2 linked regions of the Sus scrofa genome follow. The protein of the gene in region 1 purifies or fractionates together with the protein of each later gene. This does not show direct contact. Links are inferred from orthologs where the notes say so. Each region holds a gene or a part of one and is shown in the gene's direction. Other genes may lie near its edges.

Region 1 (4,259 bases):
AACGTGACAAGAGAACACACTTTCATTTGACTTTAAATCTGCAGCAAAGACCAACCACCCACCTTAGGGGAGATAAATCCATCATCATCCAAGTATTGGAACCTACGACAACCAAAGTCTTCTTTTTTTCTAGATTTTTAGCAACATTCGTTTGTGTCAAGGATTCCTTGAGGCGGTAGGCTTATCTGGAAGTAATTAGACTCAATGTCTGATATTGAGCAGAATAGGGGCGGGGGCTGGAGGAAGAAGCAAAATTGGGGTGTAGACCAATAGAGGAGTCACATTTTTGCACGCCCAAATTTGTGTGCCTCTGAAATTTACATCTGCTACCTCTGTTGATGTTTTTGTTGCCTCTGACAGACACTGCTGCACCTCCAGGATGGGAGGGATCTTGCTTCAGGCGTTTCTTTAACATCTCGCTTCCTTTTTCCTTTCTCCCAGCTTAGCACAAAACCCACCGCATAGTAGGTGCTCCATAAAAATGTTTGTTTAATAAAAGACTGATTGCATGCAGGAACCAGTGAGAAAAGGAGGTGATGGCAAAGGGGAGGAAAGAAGCCTCAGAGATTTTTAACCCAGATCTTTTTAACTGTATCGTGATCAAGGAGGGAAACGATGCAATGCGTGTTTGGAGAGAGATGGGGGGGGGGGGCAGGGGGAGAAAGAGTGAGAGGGAGACAGCGTGCTGCAGACAGCCGAGAGCTGCGATCTTTAAAAGGAGACAGCCTAATCAGAGCCAGACGGGGCCCCACCTGACTCCTACTGCAGCTAGGAGAAAAAAAAAAAAAAAAAAAAAAAAAAAGGACTAGAAGGTTCAGCCAGAGCGGTCTCTCCTTCCCCTGCAGCCCCGCAATCCTCCACCTCCGCCCCACTCCCACTGCTCCGTGAGGAGACATGGACGCTGTCGGGAGGGGAGGCAGCCGAGGTGGACTTTCCAGAACGAGGCAGGATGGTGTGAGCGCAAACGCCCTGCAATTGCTGGAGCAATGGTGGCGACACTTGAGTTATGCACAAAGGCTGGAATTCAAATGAGGCTGGCACCGCTCCAAGGCGCAGTAGCCAGGGAGGAGGGAGAGAGGAGCATTAACGATTCCTCAAGATCTGAGCGTCGCAATGGGCTCCGAGGCTCCCCATCTGCATCCCTCCCTCTATCACTGATTTCTGGGGGGAGGGGGCCTCCTCCAGAAGCACTTTCTCTGCCAGTCTAGGCGCTGGGGGTGGGGGCGGGGGGGCTGAAGTTAAGGCAGATTGGCCACATCACATGATGGGGGACCTGTATCATGTGATGACTCCGGTGATGTTGGAGGCAGCATGTGACTCCCAGGGCTACGTGGGCTCAAAAACAATTTCAATACAAAAACACAAGCAGGTTCCCGTCCTCTCCTTTGCCTTTTGGTCTGGCTCTCCCTCCCGTTGGGTTGACGCCTGACTGCATGGAAACCCCGTCGTCTTGCCGCCACTAACCTGTGAGCACCGGGTACCTGGAGACCAGGCCCCTCAGCTGGGGGGTGCCCCCAGGAGCGGTGCCCCAGCATTCCCGCAGCCTGGTAAGTTCCTGAGCACTCGGAGCGGTTCTGTGCGAAGCTGGTGCACACTGCCTGGTTCGCGTGCGCGGCACCCTCGGTGGGCGCCGTAGGAGGAAGGTGCCTGCCGGGTCTGGGACGCGGCGGCTCGCGGCCCCGCCAGACACGCAGGCTTCCTGGGGGCGCAGCGCGGCGCCGCTGTGCTGGGGCGGCAGGAGCCACATCTCTCATCGCCCTGTCTTCCCGCCTCCCCTTTTCGCTCCTCTAAGTCTCTCTTCTCAGCCTCTCTTCTCACCTCCTTCCTCTCCCCTCCCTCCCCTCCTATATTCTCTTCTCACCTACCCCCCCCCGCGCCCCACGTTCTCCCTCTCTTCCCCCTTCTCTCTGTCTCTCTGCTTTTCTTAGGAGTTTTCCTCCCCCCTTACACATTTTTTGGTACCTAGATTGTATGTGCTTTCTGTCCAGACCCTGCAGGACCAGCTTCTGAGGACTTGGTGTTTGAAAATGTACTCACTGTCCCTCCTGAGATGGTTTGCTCCCTAAGACAATGCAAGTGGCCCCTGTTCCTGTCGTGCATGTGTGTGCAGGTGCCTGCGTGTGATTGATGGATTTCTTGGGGGCCATCAGAACTGTTTCTTGGGTGGATGTCTGCTGGCTCTGATCCCCACTCAGCGGGGGGCGAGGGGGGTCATCCAGCCATAGGAGTGGCGGTTACACCAGTGAGGGGACCATGTCCTTTGACCCCAAGGGTCTGACCGTCTGTGGGAGACATCGGGTCTTCAGGCAGGAGTCAAAAATCCAGGGCTCCGTGCTTGGCGTTTGCTTGGATGTAACCGGGCATCTCAGAGAGATGGCTCAGAGTTTGGGGCCGCACCTTTGCAGAAGAAGGCAGAGCACTGGCTGAGAAACTAGCTCTGGGGAAGACAAATGTAAATTCCATTATGGCCGCGTCTGTAGCTACGTAGGAGGGAGATGGTGGTGGTGGCAGAAGTTTCAGGTTCACGTTCTCCAGGTCTGTTGTCATCTGTCCAGCAAGAAATAATTAGCAATTGCTGAGCACAGTCAACCCAGTGATTCAATGAGGAGGGGCTGTTTGTATCCCCATTTTAGAGATGGGGAAACTGAGGCAAAAAGCAGTTACGTCACTCGATTGGTAAGTGATGGAGCTAGGATTTGAGTCCAGGCAGCATTTCTGTAGAGCCTGCACAGTTAACCACTATGATAAACTACCTCAAAAAAAATGAGTTCCCATCGTGGCTCAGCGGTTAACAAACCCGACTAGCATCCATGAGGACACAGTTCGATCCCTGGCCCTGCTTAGTGGGTTAAGAACCGGCATTGCCGTGAGTTGTGATGTAGGTTGCAGCCGCAGCTCAGATCATTCATTGCTGTGGCTGCGGCGTAAGCTGGTAACTCTAGCTCTGATTCGACCCCTAGCCTGAGAACCTTCATATGCAGCAGGTGCGGCCCTAAAGAGACAGAAAGACAAAAAAAAAAAAAAAATCTATCTACATTCCCATGAGACAGGTGGTGTGCAAGGTTTGGGGCTACATTTGTGAGCAAACAGAGACACCCTGTTCTCCTAGAATTTACAGTCCAGTGGAAAAGGTAGCTAATAAACATACCATCACACAAGACAATGTATTTGTTTCCTATCAGGGTATTTGCTAGGAAGGAGGACAATAAGTAGTGTGAGGCTGTGTAATAGGATTCATACTTCAGTTGGGGGGGCAAAGGAGAAGAGTCGGTCAAAGAAGTCCTCTCTTGGTTAGGACTTGAAAGAGGAGCAGGCATCAACCAGATAAAGCGCCAGGAAGAGCATTCCAGATAGAGGGAATGGCATATGCGGGACCCCTTGAGGAGCAGCACGAGTGGGGCCATACCAGGAGGTGAGGCACTCTGGATGATGTGGGCCACCGCAGGCCTCGCTGAAATGACTTGTGTTTCATCCCAGGATCAATGAACAACCATTAAAGCATTTTAAAGCAAAGACGTAGCGTGATCAGAGCCTCCATAAGAAAAGGCTTGTTCTAGAGGGGTGTCTGTTAGTTTTTGCAGCATTACAAGCCACCCTAAAATGCCAGGGCTTAACATAGCAGTCATGAATAGCTCATCATGCTGCAAGTTGGCAGTTGCACCTGGGTTCATAATGGGCAGTAATTCCGTCCTTGCCTGCGTTCACTCATATAGCTGGTTGGCCGGCAGCTTGCAGGGGGAGGCTGATTTTAGGTGGTCTCACTCACATGCCTGCTAATGGACAGAGGCAAGTGAAACATGTATCGCCGTATCTAGCAAGCTAGCCTAGTTGTCTTCCTGTGATGCTGGGTTCCAAAATCGGCACCAGGAGGGGAACCCCAATACAAAAGCACTTTTCTTTTTTTTGTCTTTTCTAGGGCTGCACCCACGAGGCATACGGAGGTTCCCAGGTTAGGGGTCTAATCAGAGCTGTAGACGCTGGCCTACGCCAGAGACCCAGCAACACAGGATCTGAGCCGCGTCTGCAACCTACGCCACAGCTCACGGCAACGTCGGATCCTTAACCCACAGAGCAAGGCCAGGGATCGAACATGCAACCTCATGGTTCCTAGTCGTATTTGTTAACCACTGAGTCATGACGGGAACTCCCAAAAGCACTTTGCAAACACCTGTTTGCTAGTACTCCATTGGTTTTGACACATTCCTAGCTCAAACCTGGACTCAAGGAATGAAAAAAATATATACCTCTTGACTGGAGTT
Region 2 (3,649 bases), on another chromosome or scaffold:
ATATTCATTTAATTACCATGCAGCCAAACTGTAGAATAATATGAAGTCATTAAAAAGAAAGTGTTGACATGGAAAGATCTTTAAGACATTGTTAATTTTTTTGTAATGTTTTTTTGTTAATTTTTTTGTTGAGCCACAACGGGAACTCCTTTTATTTCTGTAACAGAGGAAAAAGTAATATGTGCTCACTATTAAAAAAATGAAGATTTAAGATAAAATTGAAGAAAATAAAAATATGTCAATAACCTCATTATCCTGAAATAACTACTACTAAAGCCTTGATAAATAAATATCCTTCCAGGAGTTATCTTGTGGCGCAGTTAAGGATCTGGCATTGTCACTGCAGCAGGCAGCTTGAGTGGCACAGGTTTGATCCCTGTCCTAAGATCTTCCACATGCTGTGGGCACAGCCAAAATATATATATATTTGCAGAGATAAGGGACATTTTGTGGAAGACATTTAATCCCAAACCAGGGATCATAAAAGAACACCACAGCGGGCATGTTTTTTAAATAAAAAAATAACACAGTAGCATGTAGCTTATTGTCTGTTTTGGTTTTACTTTTCACTATATCTCCAGTGCCTTTATAGTACATAATAGCAGTCAGCAAGTATGTGTTTTAAGCAATGAATGCTAGTGGTCTGCTAATTATTGGTGAAGCTCTTCTAGTTCCAAAACCCAAGATTAAGAAATCATACTTGTTAACTCTTAGAAGGCTGCTGACTGTAGCTGGATAACATTGGGCAGATACCCTCACTGTTACTACTTATAGCTTGGATTAGTACTAGTAACATTTAATGCCACCGTCTTCTCAAGTCTACACCAGGCAGGAAATAGATAGACATTTCGCTAGAATAGATAAGCCTTCTGAGCTAACACAGAAGCTTTGTTTAAGAAATAATACCGAACCATTTCTTATTCTAAGGTGCCCTGGGCTTCCTTGTCTCTTTACAGACCTTGTCTCATAGCCAGAACATTGTTCTGTACATGTAGTAGGGAAGGGAATGAGTCTGTTACCCATGATGAGAGAGATAGATTATAAAAACTGTAATACACTTTTCTGTTATTGTATTTGTCTTCCAGTCAAACAAATCAATTGAAACTGCTTAATTTTGGAATTACCTATGTATATAGATATACATAAAAGGGTAATTTTAACTCTATAAGTAGTTAATTATCATGGAGCCTGAGATCAAGTTTTTCATTTTTTTAAAGGAAACATTAATTTGTACTATGTGTGTTTTTCTTCTTAGTTTCTGCCACTGCCTTCTACAAAGCACAACCTGTAATTCAGTTCATGTGTGAAGTTCTTGACATTCATAATATTGATGAACAACCAAGACCTCTGACTGATTCTCATCGGGTAAAATTCACCAAAGAGATAAAAGGTGAATTAATTAGCATTTGGACAACTTAACTATAAAGTGCATGAATATAACAAACTTTTATTGAAATTCTTTTAAGTTAAAATCTGTTCATGTAACATCATCAGTAAAAGTATAGATTAGGTCTAAAATATCACATTAAATTCATTACCATAACATCTTAGGTAATGTTTCAATGATAGAAATACCAAGTAAAGGCATTCGTATTGATATTAGCTAATTCTTTGTTAATACTTTCCCTTACTAGCTGAAGGTATGAGAATATCCCATGGGAAAATGCTTCTATGATACTGTTGAAAATAGGAGGTTTGTTCCAAAAACTTATTGCTTCATAATTGGAGCCATTCTTTGAACATATGCTAATATAATAATTTCTTTACTTTTCTGAAATGTTAGCAGAATATTTATCCCTTTGTAAATTTTATGGATATGAAGCTAGCCTGTTTCATATCTTGTTCTAGAGTTGAAACTTAGTTATTTCATATACATTATTCAATTGACCATTGATCTTGCCTATTTTAGTTAGTAGCTAAAATTTATACAGTGGTGTTGCATTGTGTGTTTTTTACTAGTATAAATTCATCTCTACATGCTCTTCCAAAGAGAAAAATAAAAAATTAATTTCAGTTGTATTCTCAGATTTATATTTTATATATATTTACTCTGTATATTAGTACCTTTCTATATACAAACACAGTTTTATGTGCAAACCCACATATGCTGTACTTTATCAGCAATTTAAGGGATTTTTCAGGAGTAATGTTGATTGTATAAAGTCCTTGCCTTGTTCATGACTTTAGAACCTAATCCTCACATAAGATGTAACTCCACTGTATTTAGTTCCTTATTATTTAGATACAAAGAGAAATTAGATATCCTCTTAGAATGAATAGTATAAGTTCTATTTATAGTAAGTGTTGCATCTTAAATAGAAATAATTATGTTTCATTTTAAGGTTTTGCCTATTTGTTGCAGGTAATTTCAGCTTATGGTTTGAATGAAGCATTGAAGTTTGTTCTCTGAACATCTTACAGTTCCCCAAATCAATTAGTTTAGCTGAATGCATCCTGCTTGCTCGAGTAATCATTTATTCTTTGTCATTCAGTAATCAGAAGAGAGAGAGTCATTACAATAAAACATTGAAAGGAAAATCTTCCTGCTTCGAAAATAAGCATCCATTTATCTCAAGTTATTTGTTTCAAGAAAGTGTTATGTATTCTTATATTGCAACCATACCATTGTCCTTTCATAATCTGTATTAAATGCAGTTAGTATTGTTGGGAGGTGCATTACCCACCATTAATGTGTGATCATCTAAATGCCATGGTTTCCAGTGGAGTTGCTGCTTAGTTACCACCTCTGATATCATGAAGTCACTTAATTATTTTGCGGTAACTATGCAATCAACTCATATCACCACTCTATCACAGAAAATACAAGATGTACAGAACAAAAGGATTCAACTGCAGCCCGAAGAGCATGGACTCGATCTTAACTTCAACTGCTCAGGGGGCCAAAGAAATGACTGAAAAAATGACTAGAAAGCATTATAAAGTTGATGTTATAGTGAAGGTAAAGCCAAGTTTATAGGTTAAATATTTGATTTATTAAACCCAAAAACATTTTTTTGGTTGGATGGAGGGTTTGGGGAGGGACCTTGGCAGAGAATTATCTAGTCCATTTTTTTAATTTCCAGCTTTTGCTAACCCCTGGATTGGATCTAATCCTTAGGTACCTATGACTACTGATTTGGGGTAGAAAAATCTAAGTTGGATCTAACTGACAAACTGATGTATTTTTTTCTCCAAAGTCAAGAAGGCTTTTCTTCCCTTTTTTTTTTTTTTTTTTTTTAAAGCGGGCTCTTTAAAGTACATCGTGTATTCCTACTTAAGTAATGCAGGAGAATCAAAGTTACATGTTCTGTGCTATAAATTTGGGATTACATTTTAGTTGACATGAGGAATTTGATGATAAACTATTAAATAGTGATAAAAAGTGTTCTGTAATGAGTAGTACAATATTCATTTGGTTCAAGTTGAACTTCTTCCTAAATATTTAATGATAACTTTAGAGTGGTTTCTTTATGAAATAATTTATCATGGTTAATAGCAGAAATATTGGGGGAAGTATATGGTAAAAGTACCATATGTATGTAAGTGTATCAACTTGCTTTTGATAAAAACTTACTTAGAAGGCTTGTAGAACCTTACTGATAATTTTTTTTAAATCAAGGCGAAGATTTGAAAACAAATTTTTTTTTTC

What was found. The genes of interacting proteins can lie anywhere in the genome.
Region 2: the proteins of TNRC6A (region 1) and AGO3 purify together in Homo sapiens (affinity purification with mass spectrometry; 7 studies listed by BioGRID and IntAct, with this or other methods). This does not show direct contact. The link is inferred for Sus scrofa from reciprocal best matches to the Homo sapiens genes TNRC6A and AGO3.

What each region holds. Positions count from the first base shown.
Region 1 is NW_018084874.1:820,885-825,143, reverse strand, and holds the start of TNRC6A (trinucleotide repeat-containing gene 6A protein), read left to right. Parts: upstream 1-1,416; 5' UTR 1,417-1,547; intron 1,548-4,259.
Region 2 is NC_010448.4:92,154,673-92,158,321, forward strand, and holds part of AGO3 (protein argonaute-3), read left to right. Parts: intron 1-1,255; coding exon 1,256-1,390; intron 1,391-3,649.